Oryzias latipes: one gene and its partners. The protein of the gene in region 1 interacts with the protein of each later gene in a biochemical or structural test. Links are inferred from orthologs where the notes say so. Each region holds a gene or a part of one and is shown in the gene's direction. Other genes may lie near its edges.

Region 1 (8,154 bases):
GTTGCTTAAAGGCTAAAACAAGACGAGGCAATGATGGGAAGCTGGGCAGAAGATGGGGAGGCTAAATAATGGGTGTGGCAAAGAATTATGTCTATTCGTTTGATAACTGTCTGGGAGAAGCATAGCAAAATAACCCTGTAGGGGCTTTTGGTGAGGGGGATGCTTGGGGTGGAGGGGGCAGAGGCTGACTTATGGTGGCCTTGAGAGAGTTGGGGCTGTTTCCTGTCAGACGTCCAGAATTCCTGGGTGGGAACATTGACTGAATCCGTCCCAGGAGGCTCTGCTGTTGGGAATTCCGCCAAGTCTTTCCATTGCCCAGCAGGATATTACATCAGGACCAAAAACCTCCAAGTTGAATCTACAAAAATCTTTACAGAAAACAAAAATAATCTTGTAATGCACCTAAAACACTTTAAAGTAGATTAGAAATGTGTCATATGTATAGTAAAAAGGAAATCTTGATTAGAATATGCATTAACTCTTAAAATCTTATTGTCTGCTGACATTGTATGATGGTATGGTGGAAGGACCCTCAGTTAGATTGGCAATGCAATTTACAGCATCACACCTGGAAAGTTTTGGCTGAAAGTACTCCATAGTTTCAACAGCTTATTGAGTAAAGTTACTTTAAATTTCACAATTTTGTGACATCAACCATTTGATTTTCCAGGTTTTGCCAAGTGTTTGTCTCCCAGTCACAGAGCCAGTTTCACTTTTTGACTTTGAGAATCTAAAGTTGCTTCACCAACACAAGATTTCACACTCTTGAAATGACGGAATTTCTGTTTTATATTAAACATTAAAGAGGACAGTGGACCAAAGCATCCCCAAAAGAAACATTTTGCTTTGTTTTGTCACTGAAATGTTGCATTTTTCAGTCCATTCTCTTGTTCATTTAAACCAATAAGTAGCCTTTGACACACTATGCTATTGGAAAAACAATTGATAGTTATTTTTGAAATATTTTATTTGTAAAAATGATAAGAGGATGCTTAAAATCACATGGCATCACTTGTGTAACGACGCCATCTTGTGGAAAAACTGCACAATAGCTGTTGATCTTGAGCAATATTTTCTTTTTGTGCTAATCAAAATAAGAATAAAGTAAAAACATCAATCTTTGAAAGTATAACTTGGATACTTAAAATACCAATAATTGAAATAAACTTGGCATCTTAAAGTCAAGTCAGCAACAAACTTCTGCCTGTGTAACTCCAAAGCCACATCATTATTTCAGAAGCCAATGAAAAAAAATGTTGTAACTTCCCAAGTATGACAAAATAAGCTATTTCTTTCTGAATGCACCAGATCTGCTTACATCCTTGCAGATTTGACATTACTTAAAACCCAAACATGGAAATGTATTTTGGCTTTAGACTGTTAGTAAATAAATTTCACTAACTTAACCCTTGTGCTATCCTATGGGGTCAAGATGACCATTGACGCGCTATCCCTTGTGCTATCCTAGGCACTTTACCATTGGGAGTTGGGTCATCTAGACCCACTAGAGAGTGCACTGAACCTTTTTTTTCAATGTTTTGTGAACCTCACTGGTGTCCATGGATTACATGACATCTTTCCACCTTTATCCACCTTTGTCATGGTAGGAATAACACATCAAAGTAAGGGTGGGGTCATCTAAAATAGCACAAGGGTTATTCATACCATGACAAAGGTGGATTAAGGTGGAAAGATGTCATGTAATCCATGGACACCAGTGAAGACCACAAATCGTTGAAGAAAAAGGTTCAGCGCACTGTCTAGTGGGGTCTAGATGACCTCACTCCCAATGTTGAAGTGCCTAGGATAGCCCAAGGGTTAAGGAAATCGGTTTATTTTTCCTTTTTATAATTGTTTCCCAAGAGTCAGTTGTTCTTAAACTTTGCTAAAGAAATAAACAAATAAACAAAATTGTATTTTGTATTAATTTTTTAAGTTAAAAAAGTCAAATTTTCACTGGCACAAAAGACAGAATCGAAATATTATTTTGAAATCCAGTCGAAAGCCGGAAGTAAAACCAGTAGCAAGGGATTTAGTTTTTTTTAAACTAAAAATAAAACAGAAGACTGCTTAAATGCTAATTTCAGATGCCTTTATATAAAGTTATTTAAAGGTAAAACGTGCTGTACACCTGGCAAAATTATTTCTAGAAAATTAGGATACAAGACAGGCAAATAAATTAAAGGAAATAACCCGGGAGGTTTTGCTTAGAACTCGATATTAAATTCCCCAAAGCCGTTACTGTTTTAGCTATAATGTGATTTATAATTTTGTAATAATATTTGAATATTCAAAAAGGCTTCGACACTGAGCCTGAGGTTTGGCCGTTTTTGTTGTTGTTGTTGTTTTTAGACAATATATATATATATATATATATATATATATATATATATATATATATATATATATATATATATATATATATATATATATATATATATATATATATATATATATATATATATATATATATATTGTGTGAAAGGAGCCCCCACCCCTTATCCATAACTCAATGTAAACACTTCGTGTCGCTTCCGCTTTGACAGTTAACCTACACGTTTGTGGAAAGGAGTGGGGGTTTACCGATCCATCTGGTTACATATCATTAAGTAAAATGACCTCATTTTGATAATTTAGGAGTTCTTTGAGGAGCAACTTATATTTGTGTATGTGGTTCGTGGGTTTGTGGTAACCTAAAATGACTTTAGTAGAAATATTGTTCATTATTTTTAATACGTATTACCCATGGATTGTTACGGTGGTACAGTCCACAACACCCGGGTTTCCGCGCGAAAAGACGGCCCGCGCGCCCGAATTGCTTATAGCATTCACATAAGGAGACAGCACGCGGCAGTCGCTACCAGTGGTTCTGCTTTGTGTTTGATGACGGCGTACTAAAGTTCGTTTTAGCGGTTTTATTTTTTAGTTTGCAGTTACGATGCCATCCAGAACGTCCCTGTCTTTGCCAGACGATGTCAGAAAAAGGTACTTATAACGTGTCTTAAATGCTGCCCTAATCATGATGAAGCTAGTGTGGTTTTATCCTGAGTCAGAGTCTACAACAACGACCCTCACGCATTCGTCACTCCCTTAGTTAGAGTTTACCTGTGCGGGCTCGGCTTAACGAGCACGTTACCCTTGGTTTGTACTAGCAGCTGCAGCTAGCTGTAGCATATGCCATTCGACCAATTAGGGAGGTTTGAAGTAGTTTTCCCTTCTACTAGCCCGCTAGCAACGTTAGCATCACAGTGATGGAACGACATGACATTTGGCGCCAGTTGGGAAGTCCTGATACCCACGCTTTTTTTTATCATTATCTTGGTATCACAGACAATATGTGTAGCTCTGTAAGATTGGCGCCCTGTAACTTGCAATTTCCGGTTCAAATACATGCCATTTGTTTACAGACTGCAGATGCTGGAGGAGGACGGATCTTCAGAGGAGGTAAAAGCTCTTAGTGTAGTTAATCCCAATGTGGGTGTTCTGCTTTGACAACTTTGAATATGCATGCAAAGATGGTTTCATTTAGAGCCCAGGCTTCCAACATATTTTATTATGAGACCATGGATACAAATATGGCTTTTTTTTCTTTAAAAAAAAAAGCTGCCCTGTTATCTTGCTACTGCATACTTTCTTCTTTTGAATGTAAGATGTAGCTACCTATTAAAAAAAATATTTTTTTAACTGTCATGGTAGTTTGTGTGTGTTTTAAGATTTATATTTTTATCTGGAAAACAAACAAAATATATATATTTTTTAGGATCAAGTCAAAGAGAAGCTAAAGTTGGTGCAGGACTTTCTGCATGATGATACTCAAACCCAGTTGACCAGTCTTGAAAAAGAAATGAAAAGTTCTGAGATCTCGAAGGTTTGATACATCCCATTATGGCAACATAATTTAATAATTACCTCTGTTGGTTGGCTGCTTGCTGATTTCTTGTTTGTTTTTCATTTTTAGGAGGTATACATATCAAAAGTAAAGGCCTTATTGGGAAAGGAACTTCATCTGGAGAATGACTTGGAAGTTGGAAAAACAAATGGCTTCTCAAACGGCTCTCATGAAGATGAGCAGGATGAAGAAGCCATGGGCACAGATGATGTCAAATCACCGCCTCCTTCCAAAGGGAAGGCTGGACGCAGGAGCAAGTCCAATGGTGATTCAAAAAGTAGGCCTTTTTTTTTTTTTTTAATTATGCAGTCATGGGTTTTAAAAAATCAGTGTGTTAAAATATAAAATCATCCACTTCTAGAGTCTCCAGCAAGTGCAAGAGTCACCAGGAATAGTGGGAAACAGCCAACTATCTTGTCAATGTTCTCCAAAGTGTGCGTATAAGTTTTATATGTATATATGCATAATTGGAAGCTCCATTTATTCAAAAAAAGTGGTAATGTATAAATATTACATTTGTTTTGCAGTCAAAAGCGCAAGTCTGAGGAAATGAGTGAAGAAAGTGTCAATGGAAAAGATGAAGTGAAGAAAGAGGAGGATGTCGAAGAGGTGCATATTAAGAGGCATCTTTGTGGCCTTCATTGTCTAATATAATTGAGTGTTTTATTGTTTTGCATTGTAGTCTCAAGAGAAGAAGCGCCTCAAAGTGGAATCTGATGAAAAGTAACTCATTTTTCCTGATCTTTTTGTGTTGACTTTTTGATGTCGGATAAACTGATTTACGCTTCTCCTGCTGTAGTTCTGCTGCAGAAGATTGTAAGAATGACACAACCAAGCCAGTATCTGCTGCAAAGGTATTTAATCGATAGAACTGCTCTTTTATGTCTTTTGTTTTTCCAACATCTGTGATTCCAAACACACAAACTATTTATACATTTTTTTTTATACATTTTTTTGTTGTCTTTCTAGACCCCACCTCCCAAATGTCAAGATTGCCGACAGTTTTTGGATGACTCAGATCTGAAGTTCTTTCAAGGAGATCCTGATAATGCTGTGAGAATTTCCTACCCATTTAATATATAGTGGGTGCACACACATTTTTATTTTGCCTTATGGGTTTCTTTCCCTTTTTCAGCTTGATGAACCTGAGATGTTAACAGATGAGCGTCTCTCCCTCTTTGACTCAAACGAGGATGGGTTTGAGAGCTACGATGATCTGCCACAGCACAGAATCACAAATTTCAGGTTTGCAGTTGTTTAAGTGTTACAATGACGCCAGAGATATTTACAATGTTTGCACCACATTCTCCTTTTCTTAGCTTTATTGTTAATTTTTTCATGAATAATGGCATATTTTACCTTTCAGCGTGTATGATAAACGCGGTCATCTGTGTCCGTTTGACTCCGGACTGATTGAGAAGAACGTGGAGCTTTACTTCAGCTGTGCCGTTAAACCCATCTACGATGACAATCCTTGCTTGGATGGTAAGAAATGCTTCAGTTCAAGCACTGATAAAAGATTTTATTTTGTTTCTATTGTTGCTTTATCCATCTTCTTTTGATGCAAAATCAGGTGGAGTTCCTGCAAAGAAGCTTGGGCCGATCAACGCCTGGTGGATCACTGGGTTTGATGGAGGAGAAAAGGCTCTAATTGGTTTCACAACAGGTAACGCAGTTGTTTTCACGTCTAAAGTTTAATTTCCAGTGTTTCTCAGACTAATGTCAACTCTCTCTGTGCAGCGTTTGCGGATTACATCTTGATGCAGCCCAGCGAGGAGTATGCCCCCATTTTCGCACTGATGCAGGAAAAGATCTATATGAGCAAGATAGTGGTAGAATTCCTCCAGAAAAACCCAGATGTTACTTATGAAGACCTCCTCAACAAAATTGAGGTGGTGTTTTTCAGTTAAAGTTTTTCTTTTTAACACCCCCCCCCCCCCCCCCCCCCCCTTATCAAATGTGAATCTTGACAGACTATCTTCTTTTTCTACTTTCAGACAACAGTTCCTCCTGCAGGACTAAACTTCAACTGTTTCACTGAAGACACTCTGCTGCGCCACGCCCAGTTTGTGGTGGAACAGGTGGAGAGCTACGACGAGGCTGGCGACTCGGATGAGCAGCCCATCATCGTCACTCCCTGCATGAGAGACCTCATCAAACTCGCAGGAGTCACTCTGGGGAAAAGGTACAGTTAATACATTCAGACGCTTGTAAATAAATTTATATTTAAGAATTTTTAAGTTCATAATTAAGTGACATCACCTCAAAGTTAAAAAGAAAAAAGGGTCTCTCCTTTTGGTGGGATACTTAATTGCCCGACTATTGTATAATAAAGTAGAACAGTTTGGGATTATGACCATGTATCCTTAAAAACACTTAATTGTATTTAGATTGAACCCTTTTTAAATTTTATTTTTTAATTTTCTGCACGTCAGTCTTTGTCTCCCTGATGTCTAACATGTTTTTAACACTTCCTAATGCAGCACGCTGCTGTACTGGTAGGTGGTTCTTGCTGTGATTGCATCTTTATTCTGCTATGTGGTGTTTTTCTGTCAAACATTTAGAAAGTGAACAGAGTTCACACTGAGACACATACATGGTTTTTAAACTATTTTCATTTTCAGTTATTTTGATTTATATTGTGGTCTTTCAGTGTGATTTGCTTTTGTAAAGTTTTGTTGGAATAGTTTGGGATGAAACAAAATTATTTTAAGTCAAAGGTCAGAAATGTAAAAAAAAATGAAACTATCATGAAACTTGAAGAAAATGTTTCTTAAGAACTTCCTTTCTTTTTTTATCTTTTATGTTTATTTGTGTTTTGAGGTAAATTAATAGGCCTAGAGTTGGCTTTATTTTCAAGGTAATAGAGTAATTTTTAAAAAAAAGTCTTTCCAAAATAAAATTATTTCACGTTTTATACTTTCAAAATTTTAAAAGCCGTGAATTATCACTAGATTTATTTCTCTGACAAATTTTCCGAGGTAAAGAGTTTCAAAGAAAAAAAATCCTGTTTAAGTGTTAATATTTCATCTTTAAAGTTTTTTTCCATAGTTCTCCAAAGGTCAAAGGTTAAGTTTTGTTTGCTTGTACTGCTGCATGGCCTGATGCTGTGGTGTGTTTACGGCCAGGAGCTTCTTAGTTCCATCCCTCACCATACGATCCTGTGTTTGTGCTGCTCCAAAACCCGCCTCTCCTCTAAACGCTGACTCTGTTTTGTTGATAGGAGAGCTGCCAGAAGACAAGCCATCCGTCACCCGACGAAGATCGAGAAGGACAGCAAAGGACCGACGAAGGCAACAACCACTAAACTGGTCTACCAGATCTTCGATGCCTTCTTCTCTGACCAGATAGAGCAGAACGATAAAGAGAGTGCGCTCAAAAGGCAGCGTTGTGGCGTTTGTGAAGTGAGTTGGTTATTGTGTTCTTTGGTTTGTTTGTTTTTTGTGAAGTTACAACTCCAAATCTAACAAACTGGAATCTTTTTAGGTTTGCCAGTCTCCTGATTGCGGCAAATGTACCGCCTGCAAAGATATGATCAAGTTTGGAGGAAGCGGTCGAAGCAAGCAAGCCTGTAAACAGAGAAGGTGAGGATGTCTGAGGATCTCTTTGTGGGAAGTCCAAGTCATCACAAACGTTTTGATGGGAAAAAAGTTCTGGTTCAGTTTAACTTTGCCGTATATGCCGCTACAATCATTGCTGCAGGATAAATATTTTTTTTTACAGAAATCCTCGTGTCTCTTCTGCTTCAACTCTTCATACTTTTGTTGTGGTTGCGACAGAGAAATCCGATCTATTAAACTCTCTGATGGCCTTCTTTTCATGCTGTTTAGATGCCCTAATCTTGCTGTAAAAGAGGCTGAAGATGATGAGATTGTTGAGGAAGATGTTTTGGTAGAAAAGGCAAAGAAGGACGCCAACACCAAGAAGAAGAAACAAACTCAGTGCAAGCTTGCATGGATCGGAGAGCCTATACTGGTATGTCTTTTAGTTTTTTTGATTGATTTACTTAAGCCACAAATGTAACTGACAATGATCTGTTTGGCTTTAGTCGGAGGGGAAGAAACACTACTACAAGAAAGTGTCCGTCAATGATGAGGTTTTGGAAGTGGGAGACTGCGTTTCGGTTTTATCTGATGATCCATCCGTTCCTCTGTATCTGGCCAGGTACAAGAAAGAAAAGGTGTACTTTGGTGATGTTTTGTTTTACAGAGGAGTAACCTCCGTTCGTGTATTGTCTCTCAGGATCACTTCAATGTGGGAGGGTT
Region 2 (7,840 bases), on another chromosome or scaffold:
TCACGCAATCCGAGCCATGGGGCCCAACTACTCTGTAAGTCCTGCAGCGAAATTAACCATATGTGAATAATTATAGCCCAAACTACCGAATGTGGAGATGTAATCTCTTCAAACGGGATGTTTCAGATCATCATGGATAATGGGCCAGCTCATCGCAGTGGGAACGCCGCTCAGTGGCAAAAAGGTGAATCAAATCTTCACAGTTATAAATCTTCCCAAATTTTTTCACCACTTTTATATTTTCACTATTTTTCAACACTTGAAGTGGCAAAAAAAAAATTATTGCCACATTTCTGGGTGGAGTTTTGTGTCTGAAACTGTGCTGTGAATCATACTATTTGGTTTATTGATCGTAAAATTGTCTTATTTTTTTCTCCTTTAAATGTTTAGAGTTCATTTTGCTTAGCAGGAAAGACAACGCATTTGAAGACTTTTAGTCTTTGATGTTATAAATGTACTTTATTACAATAATAAATCTATTAAAATGTAATACATTTACATACTAAATCTGGTTGGATCTGTCAGTGCTTCCTGGAGTAAAATTATGGATCAGACAGAACTTGAACTGCAGAAATTGACAGTTTTAAAATCTTTTGGCGTGCAATTTCCAGGTTATCCAGCAGAGGGCGCTTGTGTAACTTTTTCAGAGTTAACAATAGAGAGAAAGGGAGAAATGCTCAGTGCTCACGTGTTGTGTGATTTTATGGAGCAATGAGTTGTATAAGCTAGAGACGCTACACCAGCCTGTTACCATCGTCCAATGTACGTAAAGATTGACACCATATTGGAAAGGGCAGTAAACAGTGGCACACACTTAGCAGATGAACATGGCATGCTTAATTTTGGTCCGACTGATCATCACAAAAATAAAAAACAGGGTGTGGTATTAATGTTTTTGTGCAAGGTGCAACAGATGAACGACATTTCAAACGTTTTCATTATTAAAAGCGTTCTATAGGAAACGCAGAGTATACGTTTACAGATCTTTGTTCTTCTTCCCACAGCTGGAGAGGTTCTAGGTGATGTGTTTGAGGTCTCCACGATCAGACGGGAGGACTATGAGTTCCACAAGGGCAAGTCTGAGTATGAGGACATTCTGCAGGCCAACAACCTGCCATCCTCCGCTACGCCTAGAGGACATCAGAGCCCCGCTGCTTTCCTCATCATGGCCTCGGGACTAGACAAGGTGCTCATATGCTACCAGGAAGCAAAAACGTCTTGGTATGGTGAAGAAAATGCATCAGTAAGTCTAACTTCTGATTTTCTCCCACAGCATGGTGTAGATTCTGACACCCCTCTGCCATACTCCCACATTGACATTGCTGGGTCCAGTGGTCCTTTCCCGGGTGTTCCAACAGGGGCTCCTGTGCTTGCCATGACAACCAACTACATCCTTAAAGATGGTCTGAATTAAAAATCTGAAAAGGCAAAGTTGTATTTTCCAAGTACAGTATTACAAAAAAAAAAACTATCTTTAACATCACAAATGGTTATTTCTCCTCCTTTGTTTACAACTTTAAGCTCTCTTCCTGTCAAAAGCCTGTTGGTTTGCTTAAATGGGTTATATACTCAGGGGTTGCTTACAAAAACATTTCATTTTGTGAGCATTAAAAGTATTTGGAAAAAGCTTCTTTTTTTTTTAAACTTCCTGTTGTTCGTGTCACATCAAGAACTGCACATTGCCTAATAAAGGTTTTTACAGCAACTTTATTGTTCAGATTGGTTTATTTTGAAGAGTAGTGTCACTAATTTTGGAACAACTCTTGTATGAGGAAGCACAGATAAATATATATAAAAATGGCAGCTCAGAAGCTGAACCAGTGACCTCAAGAATGTTTGAGGTGTTTTTACTTTCATTAAAACAGCACTGAGACAATGCCAAAGAAAATACTGGTGAAGAAATTACATTTCCTGAGTGTAATTTTATATATAAAATTAGTTTTGAATCTGTGTGTCAGCTTTTCTTATTTATTAAAATGCAAATTCCACATAAAACATCAAGCAATCATTGACAACATCCATGAGGTTAAAGTAGTAAAAAGAAACTTGATGCTCCATACATTTAAACTAGTCATAATCGGTGTTAACAAAGTCTGTATTGTTCAGTAAGATGTTGGAGTCAGTGGAAAGTAAAATTGATACTTTCCACTGTAAAGGTTTGCATCTTTAAGACTCAGGAGCAGAAGGTGTAAAAAAAGGGGCAGAATATTTGCTCCAGTGATAATATTAAAAATTAAGCAAATAAAATAAATGTGAAGATGAAGTTTTACTGATGTTTTGGATATACTTGATTAAAAAAATTTTTTTAACTTTTCTTACTCAGCAAAATTCTATTCTTCTCAATATATTCTCATCAATATAAACATAAAAAGAAAACTGGAAAGGATAATCAGCTGTGTCATAGAAAATCATTCAATTTCACTCTTTTGGTCTAATTGGTCTAAAAAAAACATTTACAATTGCCAGAATATCAGCTCTGCTTTCATCCAAACATGAAATATGAAAAATCATACAAAAAATTTGTCTTCGTGTTTATTTGATTCTTATTCAAGACTCTTTGATGAGAATGCGTATTGTTAATGCAGTCGAAAGAGTTTTAGTGTGTGTGTGAGTGATGGTGGTGTGCCTTGGGATTTTGATAAGAGGACTTTGGCCCGAGACAGTCTGAATATTATGCATTATGCTTTAGTAACATCATTTAAACGTTTATCTTTTTGTTTTGTACATTTGTAAATGATGCAATTTTCTTAAAACAAACATATGTGTAAAACATGAGACAAATTAATATTATTCAGGCATTCAATGTTACAAATGTACAACAACTCCATATATTGATCAACATTAGGAGCTTATTTCCTCAGATTTAATTAATATAGTAACTAGTGTCATTTTTGCAGGACATCTGATGACTTAAGAAAACTCTTCTCACTTTATTTTAAGAGTATTATAATCTACCACACCAAACAAGAGAAAACATTTATTTAACCAGTGTTTTGTTAAGAATGAGGTCACTTTCTTTTAAAAACAAAAACAATTAGACCTTTTAATTTCATTCTAAAATATTTTTGTAATATTTTTAAAAGTCAGAAATATTCCCAATTTGTATTAAAAACTACGGGAATATGTTTTACATGCCCAAAATGTGAAAATAATTCTTTTCAACAAGCAGATTCCTTTTTAAATCTCTAAACAAAAATGTTTTTGCAGATTTGCATCCAGCTTCCGTTTTATTGACGGAAGTGTGTCACACGTCCGGAAATGACGCAACGACGCAGCGTTATTAAACAACAGGCGTTTGCGCGGGCTTCCAGCTCAAATCTTGTGGTTGTTGTAGAAGACGCGTCTGTAGCCCGCGTGCCACACAAAGACTGAACTGCCAAAGCCGCTTTGTCATCGCCTACGTCGTGATTACTCCTCACTGCAGCCTCCTTTTACCGGAGCAGCGCTGAAAACCTCCACCAACCTTTGCCTTCTTTTTCGATCTACGCAACCCTCCACAGAATAACCATGTTTGAGGCTCGCCTGGTCCAGGGCTCCATCCTGAAAAAGGTCCTGGAAGCCCTGAAGGATTTGATCACAGAAGCCTGCTGGGACGTCAGTTCGTCCGGCATCTCTCTGCAGAGCATGGACTCGTCTCACGTATCCCTGGTGCAGCTCACTCTCCGGCACGACGGCTTCGACTCTTACCGCTGCGACAGAAACCTCGCCATGGGAGTCAACCTTAGCAGGTGACGGGGAGAAAAACAACAAAGTTTAATAAGAGGGAAGCTTCGTGTATAATCTGCATGTCATGTGTTCTGCCTATTAAATGTATTTAAAGTGATTATCAGGGGCTGACTTCAAGTTCAGACATTTACGAATTGTTCATGGTAATCGTGTGTGGCGCCAAAATCATCTTGGACGAGTGAAACGTCGATCGTTGTGAGGCCGACAAAGGAGGCCATCTTGCTGGAGAAGCCCGGGCATGTCTCCCTGCTCGGTTAACTCTTTACTGTCCACTCGCTGATTTCAACCAGCAAAAAAACAAAACGTCTAAAACGTTGACATGTGCAAATATGTCTTTGCGCTGTCACAGAGCCGCACTTGCTGCGGTACTTTAGCGCCAAAACTCTTGCCGGCAGTGTTGGCGGGAATCCTCAAAACCCGGGAACTTGCACTTCCGCTTACGTCACTCTTTCATAAGAGTTTCCGGAATTAGATTAGCATGTTGATACAAATACTTGGATCATTTTTTTTAAACATACCACGTTATCGTTTTTAAAATAAATTTACTTCAAACATAGTACTTTATACTTATAGATTAAAAGGTGACATTAATAAAAGCTAAATTTTTGCTATTCAAATAAAAGCTCAAATGTTTTACTGCTTTTCTCAGTATGTCCAAAATCCTGAAGTGTGCGGGAAATGAGGACATCATCACCCTCAGAGCGGAGGACGCCGCTGACACTCTGGCTCTTGTGTTTGAGACCATCAGTAAGTTTCTAACTGTTCGTCATACGGAAACTGTTCATCTGATGAAAATCCTCCAAAGTCTTTATGCTCCTTTTCACTTTTCTGTGTTCCTGCAGACCAAGAAAAAGTTTCAGATTATGAAATGAAGCTGATGGACCTGGATGTGGAGCAGCTGGGCATTCCAGTAGGTATTTTTTAATTACCTCTTCTGCAGTATTTCCCAGCATTCCCTGATCTTCACTTTCTTTGCTCCTGTCAGGAACAAGAGTACAGCTGCGTGGTGAAGATGCCCTCCGGGGAGTTCGCCCGTATTTGCCGTGACCTGTCGCAGATCGGCGACGCCGTCATGATCTCCTGTGCCAAAGACGGTGTTAAATTCTCCGCTTCGGGAGAGCTGGGCACGGGAAACATCAAGCTGTCCCAGACCAGCAATGTGGACAAAGAAGAAGAGGCCGTAAGTATGAGGGGTGGATCTGTCCTGCAGAGGAAAATCGGTTTGTTTTGACATCGTTTTGTAACTTCCCGCTTTCCTTCAGGTCACCATTGAGATGAATGAACCCGTCCAGCTGATTTTTGCTCTCAACTATCTGAACTTCTTCACCAAGGCCACTCCGCTGTCAAAGACTGTAACCCTTAGCATGTCTGCTGATATCCCCCTTGGTAAGGTGGCTTACGTTGTGTGTCCGTCATCACACCTGCTGAAGCTCGACCTCATCACATTTATCTGTTCACAGTGGTGGAGTACAAGATTGCCGATATGGGACACATCAAATACTACTTGGCCCCGAAGATCGATGAGGAAGCTTCTTAAGTTGGAAGCACAGACCGAAAAGGGGGGAGAATGCAGGTGATGGATGACTGGGACTCCTCCTGAAGGACTGAAGGGATCTTACTGTGGTGAACTGTGGTCACTCTGAGGTTCCTGGGCTCAAAATGAAGTCCAGGGACGCTCAGAGTAGCTGGCAGACACATCTGTCGTAGTTTCCAGCAATTGTTTTAGGCCTGTTCTCTCCCTCTTTTTATCCCGTTTGTTTGCAGGTATCCATTCTGTTGTAGATAACACCTCTGTAAATAATTCCTGTGGCGTCACACTGCAAGCTCCAAATGTTTTGTACTCATAAATTCAATCGGAAATAAAGGATTCAAGTTGTTAAAAAACGTTGTTTGCTGTCCACTTTATAGTTTCACTAGCAAACCTTTAATAAGTGCACATGTGTGTGGGTCAAACTTCAGATATTTTTGTTATTTTTCATCTGTTGGTATGCAATTCAAATAGATTTTATTTTTTGCTCCTGTCCCAGAGGAAAAGATGTGTAACCAGAAAACGCCCATTGGGTGGTGCTATTCCCCCTTTTTAAGGTAGAAGAGGTTTCAACGTGACCAAAAAATCAGCTTTTCAGCATGAGATATTCCAGGTTATCCACAGTGTTAGGTTGAGCTTTACAGTACAGTGAACAAAAAAGCAGCTCACTTTGATGGTCTGATTGGGATTTAACCACATAATCTGAGTTCTGAGCCTGCTTTCAGAGAAATTACATCCCACAGCATTATTAAAGTGGACCACCTTCAAATGAAACAAAGATAATCTACATATTCATGCAAATACATCAGACTGTGGGTCTGTTAAGTTCTGTTAGTTTTGCCTTGAATCTGCGTGAATATTTTAATGACATGCTGTTTTTGACGCGCAAATCAATTTCCTTTGCATGTTTTATTGCTTGTTTTAATTATAACAATCTTAACCCTTTATACTATTTCCATCTTTCTTTGTTGAAACATATTAACCAAAATAAAATTACTTCACCAAGAAAGACTTGACACTGGTGCCAAAAAAATGCTATTATTGTGAAAAACACAGGATATAGAAAAATTATTAAAGGTTGTGTAGTTTAACCCCTTCATGCCTGAGTTTATTTTCAATTCTTCTTCCACTTTCGGCTTCTCCCATCAGGGGTCGCCACAGCGAACAAGTCGCATGGTAAATTTGGCAATGTTTTACGCCGGATGCCCTTCCTGGCGCAACCTTCTCTAACCGGGCTTGGAACCGGCAGAGGTAGAGAAGGGAACAGGGAGCAGCCTGGAGTCGAACCCGGGTTTCACGGACGGAAGGCGCCGCAAACCAGCACGTTTATTGTGATGCCAATTTAAGTGTAATTTGATTAAATGGTATGTGCTGAATTAGTGACACAGCATGAAGGTTTAACCTAAAATAAAGGTATTTCAACTTAGACATCTTATATCTGTGAAGAATTCTGAGTTTGATAAAAATGTTAAAAATATCTTACAGTGAAACATTGACTCTGAATATAAATGACTGTAGCTAACTATGATAAACATGTTTTGGACAAAAAGAAATAAAATAAAACATTTCACCTAGTTCTTCAAAAATACCAAGGCTTTTGAAAGTAATAGAAAGTGAGAAGAAAGTAAAAAAGTAAATGCAGATTTTTTTTCAAATACCTTTTAGAGAAAATTCCAAATCCTTGATTAATTCATTAAAAAGTAAAGGCAAAAATCAATAGGTCTGTTTTATTTACCTTTTAATTGCCTTGCAGGGATGAGGTGAGTTTATTCAAAAGCAACAAAATTCACATCATGCCAAAGCAGTTTTGATACTTCTGCCTGTTCTAAGTCTGAAACTAAAACTGTACGTTTTAAAAGAACAGCTGTTGCTTGGCAACAAGCCTTAAGTATGTTTCAGTCCTCCGACAAATTGTTTTTTTATGTTTCAGTTTCTGACAGGATTAAAGAAGATGCCACAAGTTAATTAGGGTAGATTTGAAGGTGCTTTTAGAGGGATTTTCTCATTTCTGGACGATGTCAGGGTGCAGCCTTGTGGCTTCTCCTGCGACTGTCTAAAGCAGCAAATATTTAAAATAATTTTCCTCATTTGCAGCGTTCCTTTAATAAGGAATATTCTGATACAGTTCAGAAGCAGGGAGAGGAGTGGACCTCTTGTCTCTGTTATCCCAGAAAATCCAAATTCTATCTAGTAAAAAAGGGGATTTCCTGTCTTTGGATTTATTTCTGTTGCATTCAAAAAACAAATGTTCTTTACAAAGCCTACCACTGTCATGAATGATCTAAATTGACCAAAACTCTTACAGCTTCTTCTGTGTACTAAAATATCTGCTTGGATGTATTTCTGCCCCTTAAACATGTGCACTCTTTTAGATAAGGAGCGGAGTCTGTCTGCAAAAGAAGAAGAGCCGAGTGAGATTAGAACGTCAATTAAAGAAGTGACCGATAAAGCAAAGGCACATTGAATCAATTTAAGCTGCCTCAATATTTAATTAACTGTCACCGTCCAGGTTAAGACTAATCACAAACTGAAGCACAGCCAAGTTCTTTCAAGCTGACTGGGGGCTTCCACTTTTTAATTGGCCAT
Region 3 (7,966 bases), on another chromosome or scaffold:
TTACTAGACGTAAGGTTAAATCTTGTATTCCTCAGTATTAATCAATCTAATCTATGCATGTAAAATGCAAAGAGGTGGTTAGGGTTAGGTGTTTCTGGTTGAGTGAGTGTTTTGAAAGGGAAAAAAAAAACGCAAAGCGAAACTTGTTTTAATGTAGACACAATCATGTTTCTGTGGGAACGGCTGTTGTGAAGGCAGGACTTAAAAAAACCAAAGTCTACATTCTTTGTTGACAAAGCTCTGGGTGTTGGATTTCCTTAAATGTCATGTGTCTGATCAACGTTTAAAAGTTTCCTCTGAGCGCGTCTGACCTAATGTTCACCTTTCCTGTCCGTCAGGTTCACATAAAAGTTTGAGGAAACTCCTCTCGCTCCCCCTAAAGGACAAAGACTTCAAAGCCCAAGTGCCTTCATCGGCAGACACGTCTGAAGAAGATGAAGGGGTTAAATTATTCTGTGGAAAGAACCTGGCACATCTCTGCTGCTACTCCGTATAGATGGAACTCTGGTTTGCACTAAAGACTGTTTTTTTGTACAAATAAAGAAAATGTGTCATCACATGATCCAGAAACATGATCCTGTCTTTCTTTACCAAATTAAGAAATCCTCATTACAGTTCCAGTACTAATTATTTGTTTTTCTGTCGTCGTTGTTTAGTTAAAACGTTGCTTTGATCTGATGTTTTTCATTTCTTTAAAGCTGTTTTTATAAAAGAAAATAATGTGTAAAAAAGGAAACAAGGAAAACAAAAATTTCAGACACTTGATTTAGTAAAAAGAAACAAATCTGCATTAAAGCTGCAACAGGAGTCCTGCTCTGTTGAAAAGAAATGAAAACTAAATGGTTTCATTTTCTTCTTGAAGTGATGCCACGTCTGTCGTTAACTTGGTAAACATTAGTTTAAACTATACCAATATTATACTAATATAATATTGTCTGATCTTGTTCGAGATGTGAGGGAGTAATAAAGTACGTTTGAATTTGAATATTCAAACTAGTAACCAAAGATAAAAAAAGTTCATCTTTAAATCTCCTTTTACTGTCACTTTCTGCAAAAAGCACAAATAAAATCACCAAGTTCCTGGAAAAACTCCTCCATAACAAACTGTATGTATACTGTAGCTGATTTTATATCATTTTTTGAGGCACGTTTATTAATTGAATCCGGAAAAAACGCCTCTGCTAATATATTGTCAGGGTTCTGACTTTTTCCTTAATGAAGAGAAGAACCCCACAGGAGATGAGAATTCCTGCTAGACGTCTGCATGAGAATCAGCCTGTCACAGCGCGAACTGTCACAGAGGAGTTAAGCCTTCCTAGTGCATGGAGCCTCTTTTTATTGAAAACTGAATGTAGGTCATTTAATCAGGAATAACAGGAACATCATATTCTTGTATAATCAGAACATTTCAGGTCATTGCTTTCTAACTGAAAGATAGAACTGAGACAATCATATTATGGTGATAATAGAGTGTTGGCAAATAATGATTACGCAACTTACATAAGTATATATATCTATAGATATATATATCTATAGATAGATAGATAGATGCATAATACCAATGTGGGGTTCTTGCCCAAGGACACTTCAACAAATGGGCCGGCAGGGCCATAGGCTGAACCTGCCATCTTCCTTTTAAAGGTTGACCTGCTGTTTATGAATAAATCAGCTTGGATGGGTGGAAACAAAAGGGAGTTTTAGGGAGTTAAAAGCTGTATTTTGAAGGTGAAGCTCTTTCATAAGAATGAACTGCAGGTCATGCAGCAAATAAACATAAAAATCCTCCTTACTTTCACAACACTGGAAGATTCTAGTGATTAAATAGGCACTAAACTGTTAAAAATACAAGGTTGTGAAAGTAAAATATTCTGGATAGGATCACATGTGTTGTACTCACCTGTACCTAATCAAACATCCTGGCATTCTCTTTACTGGATTTATATTCCACTTTAGACATTTGGCTCCCTGAGTTTCATCAGTTTTAATCAGTTGGAGATGTTTTCTTGGTAATGATCTCTTCCATCTCATAATTTGCTCCCGTTCATACATTTAATTGTCCAAATAATTTTATCTTCCTGTTTTGGTGTGTGACACTGCTCCCTAGTGGCCACATGAGGGTACTCGTTTTATTGCAGAAAAGGGTCATATTTGAAGTCCCCCTCTGATGAAAATCATGTTTTTTAGAGCAAATATAATAGGAAATAATTTCATTTTTGCATTTCTGACTATTTCTTTTTTTACTATATATTTTTAGATTTTTTCATACTCAGTTCAGCAATAACGGCCTTGCCCATATAAGCAGAGGTTTTCAGATAAACATGAAATGTAGCTTTAAATACATTTAGGTTGTTAGATTTTAGTTAAACACTTTATAATCATAATTAAAACACCACTGAGAATGTTTTCATTAAAATTTTTTTAAAAAGTCATCGGGGGATTTTTGAAGTATGAAAGGCCTATAAGTCCTGCCATCCATCATAGGGTGTGTCAGGGAGAAAACATGAGGTTCGCTGAAGCTCTACATTCGTTTGCTTCTGGTATCTCTGTTCTGGAAAACACAACAATTTAAGCCCAAAACTGCATGTCTGAGCATATCTTTATTCAAAAAGTTGTGAATCAGGAGCAGATGAAAAAAGGCTGTTTGAAAAAAATTTGTGTCCATGACGCAGAAAATCCGCCTCAAGCGCCCTTCTCAGCTCCATTCTGATGCATCCACTTGCAGACGGATATATATCCAATGGGCGGAGAGCAAACCCAGTTCCACTTTTCCATCAGACTCTCCCACTAGCTTACAGCCCCTCCAACGCGACAATAATGGTGCAACAAAAATGGGGAGCAATATTGGAGCTATGCAGCCATACAGTTTTGAGGAAACGAGGACAAACAAAGACGTTCCTGCATCTCACATATATTTATTACATTGCAAAGACGATTTTTTTTCAAACTGCATTTTTCATCTTTTCCTGATTCACAATGATTAGAATTAAAAAGTACTGAGAAATGCAATTTTGAGCCTAAAAATAGAGGTTCTTTCGAATGCATCTTATCTACATGCAGGTGTGAGACAGAGAGGTTAGTTAATCCTCTGCTGGTGTTCAAGAAGCAAAGTGAGTCATGAGCCACAACATGAGGAGGTGGTCTATAGATCATTCGACACAAGCAGCTGAGTTGTTTGAACAGCCTGCTCTGCCCCACTTCCGGATCAGGTTTTACCTGAATAAAAATGCAAAAACGTGAACCAGGTTATAACATGAACTCAGAGTTATAACTGGGCTAATGTGCAGTCACGTGGATGAATTCAAATTGTTTGTGTATATTAGATAAACAGCACCTCCTGTCTCTGATAATGGAGTACTCCTCCATTGGAACGTCACCTTACCTATAATAAAAAGTGCCAAATTTAGTTTGATTATTTGATTTTGTGGAGCGAACAACAGTAAAAGCATAAGCAGGATAAACAGTCGCGAACGTTCTGCTGCACGGTGTGTCTGATCGGGGTGTCACGTGACGCGCTGGCGGCATGCAGCCGTATGGGTGACGGGAACTGCCGCCGCGTGGTGGTGTTCGGCCGGCGGCCTCCGGAGGAATGGAGAGCGACGAAGAGAATGAAGAGGAGGTGGTGGTAGGTAGGTAAACCCCCATTCTTTCTGACGCAACGTGTAACTGGCGCGTGGACATGACGGCACTGATCTGAGCGTTATGTTTACTACTACGAGACACGCACGTGCGAGTTTGATGGTGGGCCTTTGTGGTGTTTCTGAAGCCGGTGACTCGATTTCAGAAGCAGTCCGTTTAGAGGGTGATCGAGGCCGGTCTGTGTAATTTCAGTGTCCCGCTGCAGGAATGGTTTCAATATTCGATTTATGAATTTAAAGATTATAAGGTGACATATTAATGCAAATGTCAAATGTCTACAGATAATTCTTATATACATAAATAATAATTAGTCTTTTATATTTGCTGAGTCACTAATTTAACCACAGATGTCTTCAGTTAAACTTTAGTTTGTTTTGTTTTTTTACATGTTAAGGGATTGGAAGAAAACAAACACAAGTCTGACCAAAACTGTGTTTTTGTTGTTCTTATGCCAATTTTCTGATGATGTTGGACATGTAAAAAAAACCTATGCTGAAAACCTAATGTATTAAGTAATTCTTAAGGAGTAAATTGAGGAATGATATTTGAAAAAAATAGCATTTGTGATGTAAAAACACACTGGGCGGAGCAAAAGCTCCCTGCTCCGCCCATTCTGATGCATCCACTTGTAGACAAAGAAATCTGTGTACGTCTTTCTTTGTTTTCCTCGTCTGAGAAGGTTCGATTGGGGGTTTGATGGGCTGTAAGGCAGCGGGAGAGAATTCTCAAAAAGAGGGAGGCACTAACGGTTCCACCCACAAACTCAGATGAACTTTCTGCTGCTCTGCAGAAACTATGTCCTAGATGACAACACAGGTTTTTACATTTTTGACTAGACCATGTAAATAAAAGAACCAAATGCAAAAAGCAATTATATCTGGATAAACAAATTCCCCGGCCTGGCTGTCAATGAGGATTTGGGGGTGTGTAGTGCCCAGAACAGATGACCTGCTGGAAAAGATTGGAGCTGCAGAATACATCACAACCCTTGATCAATGCAAAGGGTATTGGCAAGTGTGTGAAGAGAGAGCCAGGCACAAGAAGTGCCAGTCTGAAGCCAGGGAACAAAGAAGGTGAATTGTTCTGAAATCAGACCCATATTCCATGAATTCACAGAACCTGTTAGGGCTTTTTTGTGTGTCATTCTGTCTTCATCCCTGCTTTATTTTTCTATGCTCCAACGAAATCTTTCTCTGTTTTTTTTCGTTTTTCTGGACTTCCTACAAGAACACCAAGGCTAAAAGACACACAACAGAATAGAAACACATAAAACCCTCTAAGATTAACCTAAGCTACTCCCTTAAACGACTACCGGTAGAGTAGTCGTTTAGTCCTGTCTTCTTTGTGGTTTCCATGTCACTAAATATTCATGGTGTTGATTTTATTTTAGGACCACTGGATGACGACGGTCTGCCTCACGGATTCTGCACCGTAACGTACTCATCCAGCGATCGCTTTGAGGGACACTTCACCCACGGAGAGAAGAATGGCAAGGGCAAGTTCTTCTTCTTTGACGGAAGGTAGGGTAGAAACCTAAACAGATTTATTGTCATTTAGGCCTGCACAAAAAATCGCAAATTTATCGTTATCGCGAAATCAAGATGTGCAATACGCATATCGCAAAAGTTGATGAAAATTGCGATAAAGGGTTACCTTAAATTTGCTAAAACAATCTTTTGGCAGCTTAAAGTATTTAACGAATCAAATAAATACCATTATGCATTTGACCAATCAGATAGACTCCTTTACACCAATCGTAAGGAGCCCTTTTATGTTATATATATGCCTCCTATGTAGACTAAGGTCTTTGGAGTGTAAAGCAAGTTATGCTGACTCTTGCAGTGAAATGGAATTGATGTACATAGTTGCTTTCGCTATTTGTTCATTTATCGCAAGTTATATCATCATTGCAATATTGATCACTGATATCGCAAATCACAAGTGTTCCTAACATAGTGCAGCCCTATTGTCCTGTGTGGTAATCCAAAAATCATAAAACTCAAGTGTCTGTATTCATTATATTAAATAATTTCTAACAAATATGTAGGAGTGGGTCTGACCATTTAGAATATGAGATCTAAAAAGCAGTTAAAATGTGTTTTGAGCACAGTTCTGGGTATCAAAAGGGCTGCATTCTGCATAGACCACAGAGTATAAACATGTATTTTAAAATCTACAGACTTCGAGCTACATTTAAGTGGAAAAAAACTCTTACAGTGAATTTTCTGTATTGATACTTTGACAATATTTAAGAAATCTACCGTGTAGAAAACAGGAAGACGTCCTGGATTAGGCCCATGGATAGTTACTTAGGTGACGATCCGATTTTATTCACGAATCAAGATCAACCCTTTACAGATCGACCACAGATAAATATATTATGTATGAATTCTTCCTGTTACATCATCATCATTTATACATAGATACATTATTCTACAGTTTACTGTCCGATGCGATCTGCCCTTCATGTTCCGCATTAATTTATGACAACAAACACTTCGTCTGGCTTTATCCCTGACATGATAGAAAACATTTGTGGCTTTGTTTTGGGTTATTTCTGTTAAGCACTACAAAGTCTCACATTGATGACGTCACAGCTAGGAACACTATTGACACAGAGAGCAATGCAAGACGCATTTGCTGCTGAGTTCTTAGTTGATAAACTAATCACAATTAACGCAATAATTTGACGCCATTAAGCAGAAATGCAGATTTCAGATTCATTTGAACTCCATTGACCTGTCCTTCTGACTGCAGTACCTTGGAAGGCTACTATGTGGATGACGCCCTGCAGGGTCAGGGGGTGTACACCTATGAAGACGGAGGGGTCCTCAATGGAATGTACGTTGACGGCGAGCTCAACGGACCTGCTCAGGAGTTTGACAGTGAGGGTCATCTGTCGTTTAACGGCCAGTACAAAGACGACGCCCGCTGTGGAGAGTGTTGGATCTACTACCCCGTGAGTCGAGCACCCTGACGGTCGTGGCGGCTCTTGCGCTGCTTTGGTGACGGTGTTGGCTTTGTGCTTCTCGGCGGCGCATCCAGGACGGAGGCTGTGTGTTTGGGGAGGTGAACGAGGAAGGGGAGATGACCGGAAAGTCCATGGCGTACATCTACCCTGATGGATGCACCGCTCTTTATGGAAGCTTTGTGGATGGGGAGATCATCGAAGCCCGATCCGCCACAATGATCTCCAAAGACCACGGAAGGCCTCGCTTTGAAGTTGCCCCCAACAGTAAGTGTGTGCATCCATCAGGAACTGGCCTACGAAATAAAAGCTGGACAGGAAAATGACAATGTCTTTACTTTGAAGGTCCCGTGTACTCGTATGATAAGTCTACGTCTACCTGCATTGCCACCCACACTCTCCTCCCAGACCCATACGAGAGCCAAAGGTGGGCTCCTGTCAGTCCTTCTCTGATTTCTCCTCCTTGGGAAACAGACTTGGAATGATTCTGCACTTTTGTTCCTTCCAGGGTGTTTGTGGCCGATTCGAAGATCAAAGGAGCAGGGCAGGGCCTCTTCGCCAAGAAGGACTCGGAGCCTGGTACCGTCATGGCCTTTTACAACGGGGTTCGCATCACCCACTCCGAGGTGCGGGACGTTTAGGGAGCCCTCTACTGTCACTGTGCATCTTGACCTTCTTGTTTGCTTATTTAAAACTCAACAGAGGGCGTTTTTGCTGTGGTGGGTTTGTTAGGTGGACAGCCGGGACTGGGCCCTCAACGGGAACACGATCTCCCTGGATGAAGACACCGTCATTGATGTGCCAAAGCCGTTCGATCAGACCGAGAGATACTGCGCTTCTTTGGGTCACAAGGCCAACCACTCCTTTACGCCCAACTGCAAATACGACCCGTACGTATAAACCTGCTCCTTCGTGCTGGTTTCTCTCTGTTTTTAGAGATTTGATTCCATATAACACTTAATTTGCACTTGAAATCAAGGAAATGCAGCAGTATTTTGTTTTTAAGATGTCGATGAAGGTTATTATTCATCCAGGTGACCTTGTCCTGAAGTTGAACTATGGTTTCTGGACTTACAGTCTTTACCAAATTATGATTTAATTTTGATCTTGGAGCTTAATCATAACATTTTAACCCAGAGCACAACAATGTAGAAGCTGTAATATAGGCTGTAGGCATCATTGTACTTTGAGATCGCCTCCATCAAAAACATCTGGTTGAATTCAAGAAGCTTCTGATGCCTGTTGGATTCAATGTGAGGCCGGTTGATTCCTGACGAGCGTTACTGTAGACATTTCAGCTTCATTTCCATTTCAGCTCTTTTTATCTGAGTTGGCGCTAACAATGATGCCGGAAAGTATGTA
Region 4 (7,371 bases), on another chromosome or scaffold:
TATTTTTGAATCTATTCTTACAGCCTTGAATATTACTGATAGCCATAAGTTATGTGAGTGACCATGACTTGAACATGAATGATGACCAAAAAAACTATAATTCCTTTTTTAGCTGATTAAATGTATCGTTTTAACCTGTATTTTAATGTCTTTGTGTGCATTTCATAACACTGTGCGGTATTTTCATTCTGGTTGAGGTGAAGTTTATGATAAAGACTTAAATGATTCTGTTTTTGTAGGGCTCCCCTTTGTTTGAGCTGCTGAAGCGGGAAAATGAAGCTGGAGCCACAGAACAGGCCGAGCCCCCGGCGAGTTTCAGCTTACCTCTGCAACACAACCACACGGCAGCTGACCTGTGAGCCAATCTTTCCCTCAGCTCACACGGAACTGTTCTAAACCTGAAATATATGTTACTGTTATGAATGAGGACAAATCGTCAGTTCATTTGTCTTGGTTTAAATGCATGACTCAACACGGGGCCTCCTTACTTGTGGTGGAAATGACGCATGCTTCTTTGGCTTCTTCTCCATCTACAGATATCTATCCCCAATTCGCCCAGGTCTCCGTGTCTTGCCTCCTGAATCACCAGCCACGCCCAGCTCTCAGGCTTCCTCTCAGCCGACACCTCAGGCAGCAGGCCAAGCTCCACGGCAACCAAAGTCTAACTCTCTGAGCCTCTTCTATAAAAAATGTAAGATGTTTCTGTGATTATTTCCTTGATGTCAGTTTAACAAGAGCTATTGGTGCTGGTGGATATTGGTGACAACAAGTGAGACTTGGCTTGGCTGTAGTAAGGCTTCATCGTCCATCAGAAGAACAGCTCATGTGAGATGTTTTAAAAAAATAAAAGGTTTTGGACACATTGAGAGTAGGGACAGTGGTTATGCTGGTAAAAGGCTGCTTAACACCAACAAAGAGACCTAGAGGAAGACCAAATAGGAGTTTCATGGTTTTAATAAGGAAGTTTATGTGAACGAGGAAGAAACAAAGAAGAGGGTTAGATGGAGGTGAATGATTCACTGTGTAACTCCTAAAGGGAACAGCTAAAAAAAACAAAGAACGTGTCTGTAAGGAGTCATTGAATGAATGAGTTAAGCTTTATTTATATATCTCTTCACAACGCCTTCAGGGTATGAAAGTGTTTTACAATAAGAGACCACAGAACATTTGAAATTAACTTAACTCTTAGTACAACAGATTTATTGTCCAATCAGAGACAGACATCCATCTACATAATCTAAGAAGATGTTAAAGTTCCACTTTGATCGTATTTTTATCTAATGTAAAAACCTATCCTGTGTGTCCAGCCGTAGTTCTGAGCCACATACCAGCTCAGACAAGGAAAAGGAAGATGTTTTTGGATCTCTTTGTCTATAAGTGGATGAATCAGAATAGAACAGAGCAGGGAGCTTGTGTCCGCCCAGTGTATTTTCTATGTAACAAATACGATCTTTTTCAAACAGCATTTTTTTCATCTGCTCCTGATTCACAACAGCTTGAATAGAGATATACTCAGAAAATGAATTTTAAGCTAAATTTTCTTCACATGTCCTCCATCATCAGAATTATGTCACAAGATCATGTTAAAAACACCCAAAACACCATTTTCATCAGTGTGGGTTCTTGTTGAGTCCCTAACATCCTTTAAGCTACAGTTCTATATTACCTATTTTGTTTTAGCTTACTCACTTTTTGTAGTTCAAGGCTTTTATTAGTTTACCTGGAATTGGATGAATCATACATCTAACTTCCTGTTAGAATTTTGTTTTTTGTTTCATTTACAAATAACTTTTTATTTTCCTTATTTTTAAACTAGTTTGAATTGGGTCGTCCACTGGTAAAACGGAAAGTTCCTCTTTTTCTATTTCTATAGTGTATCGACTGGCATATACGAGGCTGAAGACTCTTTGTTCCTGCCTGCTTTCCAACCACCCGGACCTGGAGCACGTTATATGGACTCTGTTCCAGCACACGCTGCAATATGAGTATGATCTAATGAGGGACCGTCACCTTGACCAGGTGTGCTCGCCTTATCGTGCTCTAATGATTGTTTTTTTCTAGTTATGTAAAGCTAGAATTTCTTTATGTTTCTATTTTCCTACCAATTTCTTTCCTTTTTATTATCATGCTTTTTAAGAGATTATTAAGAATCTGTGACGTTAAAGGTATCCCTTATAACAATGGCGCCTTCTCTCAACATTTGTCACGATGAATAATCACAGCGAGGGAAAAGTAGAACTCGGTGTACGAGCTTTACCAGTCCAGGACAACAGAGAACAAGAAGAAGGAAGTTCTACATTTCTCTGTCAGACAAAAAGACCATCCATATAAATAAAATGCATGAACTTGAAACACTCTGGACTGACAGAATACAGATCACACAAACACAAAAAATAAACTCTCCATCAAAGAAAAATAAAAAAAGCACCTCCCACCCTTCTCTGCTGCTCCATCTTCACTCAAAATAAACTACAAATGTGTATTATTTTAGAATATTAAACTACAGTGATACAAATAATCCTCAAGGGATCCATAAATGTTACATCTAGTTTAATGATATAGTCTTTACTAGTGATGTGTAGATGAGGCCACGTGAAGCGTTTCAACACATTGCCCAAACTGTAATGATACTGTGTCGATACTGTGTCACTTAATACTGACTGGACCAAAAACGTTATTGCAGGGAACCAAGTTAAGAAACTCAGCTGATATACTTTTTAAATTGAAGCTAAACACAATATTTGTCATAGTAGTTCCTTATTCCCATGTCTCGCTCTATAATGCCCCAGCATTAGGAAAGTGCTTTTAAGTTTGACGGTTCTGCAGAACAAATGCCACATTTAACCTCTGAAACATAAAATGACTGATTAGAGTTCGTTGGAAATAGAATTATATTCTGCTAGATCAAGCGGAAACCGAGAGGAAGAGGAGAAACAAAAAGCCAGAAACACTATTAAAACTATTAAATAATTCCGCGAACCTCATTAAAACACCACATTTAACACCTTAAGTAAAGATTCAGTAAAATAAAACCTCAAACACAGGTGGGCGGGGAAAACGGCGGCACACGAGCGCGAGAATCATTCAACAGCTGGAAGCAGGGCGCGCATCTGAGGCATCAAAAACTGTTCTTCAGTCCAACTCACCGCTGGACTTATTTAGCACCCAAGTGACAGTAATGTAACCAAGAAGATCTGGTAATTTTTCAAAATATAATAACTTTCAAAATAAAAGACTGCTTAGAGACTCATTATAAAACTAACTAAAACCTGCAAAGTTGACGCGAAAACCACACAAATCAAATTTTCTCAGCAAAATCAAACCCACCCAATTGGGTGGAAAACCGCATGATCTGGCAACACTGCTGGTAGACGCGCTTCCTTGTTTGGCTCACAGTGGCTGTATCGGTCACGTGACTTCTCCTAAAGGGATACGCGCAGCGACACAGGGTTTCACTCTATGAGCTTTACACGTGAGCCGATGCGTCTGTGTTGCCAGACCCATCAATAGTCTTCACACTTTATATATTTACCATCATTTGACTCTAACTCAAGTACCGGTAGTTGATGGAGTCCACCCTTCTTCCATAATGAGAAACTGGAATTCCCTATTCCTAGGATCACATATGGAAATGTGATTATCTATTTATTGTGAAATATCTCCAATAAAAAGAGCAGTGAAGGAGGATGGAGGCTCCTCAGGGAATTCCTGTTTTAATGTCTTCTTAACACCGATCACCAGGTTAAAGATTTATCACAGATTCACCTAGGCTGGCAGCTGCGCTTCTGAGCTTGGTTGTCCATTTTGGTCACCATAGCAGTGGCAGCTGTGGTGCAGAGGAAGAGCGGTCGACCTCTGATTGGAAGATCGCAGGTCCGGTTCCCGCTGCGCTGAATGTGTTGAACCTCACATTTCTCCTCATGGTTATAGAATGACCCCAGTGTTTGGCAGTGGAGCCGTCATCAGTGTGTGAATGTGTGTGCATGAGTGAATGTTAGAAGTTTTTATGAACTTTTCTGGCAGTAGTGAAGAAGAATCTGACTAAAGTTCAATCATCTCTGCAGTTGATGATGTCTGCCATGTATGCAATTTGCAAAGTAAAAAGCGTCGACCTGCGCTTCAAGTTAATCGTCTCTGCCTACAAGAACATGCCCAACACCAGCCAAGAGGTGATGCAACTTTCAAAAAACTCTAATATAAACTCTTCTTTTTGAACAGTGACTTATGAGAATGTTGTTTTTTCAGACCTTTAAGCACGTGTTGATCACAGAAGGCCAGTACGACTCCATCATCGTCTTCTACAATCAAGTGTTTATGCAGAAGTTAAAAACCAACATCCTGCAGTATGCATCCACCCGGGTGAGAGACTTCAGACCTGTTTAACAGTGTGCTTTTATTGCAAATGTACTCGTCTCAGTGCATCTGCTGTCCTTTCTCTCCAGCCACCTACTCTTTCTCCGATCCCTCAAATCCCATGCAGTCCCTACAAGTTCCCAAACTCCCCTCTGCGTGTGCCGGGAAGCAACAATGTGTACATTTCTCCTCTAAAAAACTCACGCCTGTCTCCGGGTATGATGACTCCTCGCTCCAGGTCAGTCCCAAGAGCTTAGAATATGTCAATACTTTAGAAATATTTCCTTACAATATATTAATTTTTTTCCTTTGTGCAGAATGCTGGTTTCCATTGGTGAATCTTTTGGGGTTTGTGATTTTTTAAAATAAAAATTATTATTTTACTCATGGCTGGAGAAGCTGCTACATTTTCTTTTCTTTCCTTTTTTTGGTCTACAGTTTGCCAACCGCTTCCAGAAAATCAACCAGATGGTGAACAGCGGTGACCGCGCTCACAAGAGGACTCTGGATGGTGGCTCTGCTCTAAAGCCTCTGAAGAGGCTACGCTTTGATGTGGACGGGCAGGATGAAGCTGATGGCAGGTTTGTGACAATTCGACTTCAAAATTCAAGCTTGAGAGTACCGCCACAAATCAGGCTTATTTGACTTAACATCTGGATCATTTTTTCATTTCAATTTACAGCAAATCTGGAGGAGAGTCTGCACTGATACAGAAGCTTGCAGAGATGAGTAAGAAAAACACCTGTGCCTTTGCATGTCCCGCTGAACTCCTGCGGTTGTTTTCTCACACATCTTCATGCTGCTTTTCTTGCAGGCTCCACTCGCAGTCGAATGCAAGAGCAGAAGATGAAGGAGGATGCAGAATCCAGGAAAAAAACAACCTAAGATCTGCTGGACTGACCTGCACTGTTTGAACACTACTGTTTGTCCGCACACAAAGTGAAACCCAAGTTGCTTTTGGATTTTTTTGTGCACCTTTAGCTGCTTTTAGTTTATAGTTTGATTGAAAGAGTAGTTTGATGACATCGATTCTCTCCCCTTTTTTTGTCTTTGTCATGCTTTGAGTTTTTTAACTAAATAATGACTTTTATAGAATTGTGGTTGTTCCTGATGTGGGTTTGGTTTATTATAGTTGCTCCTTTTAAGGAGGAATCATTTGTTTCAAACGTCATTGGTTTTACTTCTGTCTTGGAAAACTGTCTATTCTTACATGTTTGGATCATGATGATCCAGCATTTTAAATGTTGATTCGTGGTTACTGTCAACACAAAGGAATCTGTCTCAGATGCAGATTGCTGTCTGGAAGTTTAGGGTCATGTCCTTAAGGGAGAAAATCGCATGTTCGACCAAAAAGGTCAACATATTGAAGGATCTGGTGACTAGTGTTGGTTTTTCTTGGACTAAACCTAAAAATGTTTATATTTTAGGTTTGTTTTAACTTTTGGTGAAAAAGGAAAATGGAAAAAAAAAAATTTCATAGTGTTTAAGTACTGAAAGAATATTTTTACGTATTCACTTCTGTGGTGAACTGAAGGTTGTTTTTGTGAGGACAAGGCAAATTCTAAAATAGGGAAACTAATTTAATTTACTGAATAATAAAGTACACGTGTAGCCTATATGTGGGGTTCATTCTAGAAAAATCCCCAGTGTAAAATATTGTTATTTCAGTGAACAGAGTTTAAGATGAATGCTTTAATAATGTGATATGCTCAACAAGTTCCTGGAAATAAAGATAATGAAACACAGTTAAATAGTTTCTTGTCTTTCATCTTTACACTGTTTCTCTTTTGTTTTTGTTCTAAACTTATAAAAAAGCTATGAGCTCATCTTTTAGAGGAAGATTTTCCACCGCCTGCTTTGCTACCTGACATTTACGAGAGGCTACAGCCAGCCGGGCTTCAAATCTAAGTAAAACTGATTAAAGAAAGTGAACATTCCACATAAAATGCAATTAACTGACCTTTTGTTGTAATGTCAATTTAGCTGCTAACATTGACCATTCATCAGATATGCACAGGATAGGACACTTGCTGTGGAGACTACCGAACAGAAATTTGCAGCAAAGCAGGTAAGTTGAAAAAGAAATTAAACTGAAATCTTAATACTTCATTATTTTGAAGTTATGTGGCTTTTGCAATAACACAATTTAAAGAAAGTTGTTTAAAAAAAGGGGGGGGGGAAACTTAAGTATGTTACTTGCAGCTGCTTGTTTTTCCTGTTCCCCTTCTGTGAGCGTCCTCCATATCCTCTGGGAGGAAAGATGACAGCAGTTGGGTGCCCCTTAACAACTAGCTTAATTGTGCTGAGGCACTGGGTACAGAGCGGAGACCAGAGATAATTCCTGTTTGAATGCAGAAACTGTTTACTTTAAGCCCAGCTGAGCATGAAACACTTTGAACAGGTTACATTTTAATTGGCCATTCCCCTTGGGGAACTTTGGTGTGTTACAGAGTTTATTGGAAGCTGATGAATCCATCCAGTCAGGCGGCAGCACATGATCAGCAATGTTATCACTTTTCTTCTTCTTGAAGCTGAATGTACAATCTTCTGCTTTAATCTCCAAGTCTCCAAAAATAGTTGGCAAAAACTCGACTTTGTGTCTCCAGAGCCTGTGATTGTATTCTTACGTTGGGAAATCCACATAGAGGACTTTAGTTTTGTCTCCAGGAATGGAAAATCTCACGGTAAGAAGAGTTTTATTTGCATTACAGGATATGAAAAAGTGTTACGATATACATTTAAAAAAATTACGTATTTTTTTAAATCAAAATGTAAATTTTAGTTGGCTTCTGTTTTGACATTCTGTTTTTCTATACTCCTCACCTTATTTCTATCAAATGTTAGTCTTAATCACATTCTATTGTCTTCCTTTTTTAAATGCATATTAATTAATTAAAAAAAGGTGTTTATGCATAGATGCACTGTACTTGTGTAAGGGTTGAGGTTAACGCTATTGATGTGTTCCTCAGCCGGAACAATGGCGCGAGATCATGAACAAAAAGATGCGTTTCCCTCCCG

What was found.
Region 2: the proteins of dnmt1 (region 1) and pcna form a complex in vitro, tested with the Homo sapiens proteins (3 studies listed by BioGRID, with this or other methods). The link is inferred for Oryzias latipes from reciprocal best matches to the Homo sapiens genes DNMT1 and PCNA.
Region 3: of the proteins of dnmt1 (region 1) and setd7, one has a biochemical effect on the other in vitro, tested with the Homo sapiens proteins (2 studies listed by BioGRID and IntAct, with this or other methods). The link is inferred for Oryzias latipes from reciprocal best matches to the Homo sapiens genes DNMT1 and SETD7.
Region 4: the proteins of dnmt1 (region 1) and rb1 form a complex in vitro, tested with the Homo sapiens proteins (2 studies listed by BioGRID). The link is inferred for Oryzias latipes from reciprocal best matches to the Homo sapiens genes DNMT1 and RB1.

The regions. Positions count from the first base shown.
Region 1 is NC_019866.2:8,442,388-8,450,541, forward strand, and holds the start of dnmt1 (DNA (cytosine-5)-methyltransferase 1), read left to right. Parts: upstream 1-2,791; 5' UTR 2,792-2,938; coding exon 2,939-2,985; intron 2,986-3,407; coding exon 3,408-3,444; intron 3,445-3,760; coding exon 3,761-3,868; intron 3,869-3,958; coding exon 3,959-4,166; intron 4,167-4,250; coding exon 4,251-4,323; intron 4,324-4,416; coding exon 4,417-4,498; intron 4,499-4,571; coding exon 4,572-4,612; intron 4,613-4,688; coding exon 4,689-4,743; intron 4,744-4,858; coding exon 4,859-4,942; intron 4,943-5,024; coding exon 5,025-5,134; intron 5,135-5,255; coding exon 5,256-5,374; intron 5,375-5,462; coding exon 5,463-5,555; intron 5,556-5,629; coding exon 5,630-5,781; intron 5,782-5,886; coding exon 5,887-6,074; intron 6,075-6,372; coding exon 6,373-6,387; intron 6,388-7,112; coding exon 7,113-7,293; intron 7,294-7,375; coding exon 7,376-7,473; intron 7,474-7,719; coding exon 7,720-7,864; intron 7,865-7,937; coding exon 7,938-8,053; intron 8,054-8,131; and 1 more. UniProt on the Homo sapiens protein: Methylates CpG residues. Preferentially methylates hemimethylated DNA. Associates with DNA replication sites in S phase maintaining the methylation pattern in the newly synthesized strand, that is essential for epigenetic inheritance.
Region 2 is NC_019867.2:6,549,671-6,557,510, reverse strand, and holds pcna (proliferating cell nuclear antigen), read left to right. Parts: upstream 1-3,265; 5' UTR 3,266-3,507; coding exon 3,508-3,728; intron 3,729-3,945; exon of another isoform or gene 3,946-4,375; coding exon 4,376-4,473; exon of another isoform or gene 4,474-4,562; intron 4,563-4,568; coding exon 4,569-4,636; intron 4,637-4,655; exon of another isoform or gene 4,656-4,711; coding exon 4,712-4,906; intron 4,907-4,988; coding exon 4,989-5,112; intron 5,113-5,186; coding exon 5,187-5,263; 3' UTR 5,264-5,610; downstream 5,611-7,840. Other genes in the region: putative aminopeptidase W07G4.4, read left to right, coding at 1-34, 127-184, 1,005-1,186, 1,274-1,414. UniProt on the Homo sapiens protein: Auxiliary protein of DNA polymerase delta and epsilon, is involved in the control of eukaryotic DNA replication by increasing the polymerase's processibility during elongation of the leading strand.
Region 3 is NC_019868.2:27,265,442-27,273,407, reverse strand, and holds the start of setd7 (histone-lysine N-methyltransferase SETD7), read left to right. Parts: upstream 1-3,216; 5' UTR 3,217-3,586; coding exon 3,587-3,626; intron 3,627-5,026; coding exon 5,027-5,156; intron 5,157-6,393; coding exon 6,394-6,595; intron 6,596-6,681; coding exon 6,682-6,871; intron 6,872-6,949; coding exon 6,950-7,031; intron 7,032-7,112; coding exon 7,113-7,230; intron 7,231-7,336; coding exon 7,337-7,494; intron 7,495-7,966. Other genes in the region: alpha-1,3-mannosyl-glycoprotein 4-beta-N-acetylglucosaminyltransferase B, read left to right, coding at 339-356. UniProt on the Homo sapiens protein: Histone methyltransferase that specifically monomethylates 'Lys-4' of histone H3. H3 'Lys-4' methylation represents a specific tag for epigenetic transcriptional activation.
Region 4 is NC_019872.2:15,911,022-15,918,392, reverse strand, and holds the end of rb1 (retinoblastoma-associated protein), read left to right. Parts: intron 1-239; coding exon 240-355; intron 356-536; coding exon 537-691; intron 692-1,873; coding exon 1,874-2,019; intron 2,020-4,064; coding exon 4,065-4,169; intron 4,170-4,245; coding exon 4,246-4,359; intron 4,360-4,442; coding exon 4,443-4,591; intron 4,592-4,670; coding exon 4,671-4,701; intron 4,702-4,791; coding exon 4,792-4,934; intron 4,935-5,035; coding exon 5,036-5,082; intron 5,083-5,167; coding exon 5,168-5,238; 3' UTR 5,239-6,100; downstream 6,101-7,371. Other genes in the region: short transient receptor potential channel 2-like, read left to right, coding at 7,344-7,371. UniProt on the Homo sapiens protein: Tumor suppressor that is a key regulator of the G1/S transition of the cell cycle. The hypophosphorylated form binds transcription regulators of the E2F family, preventing transcription of E2F-responsive genes.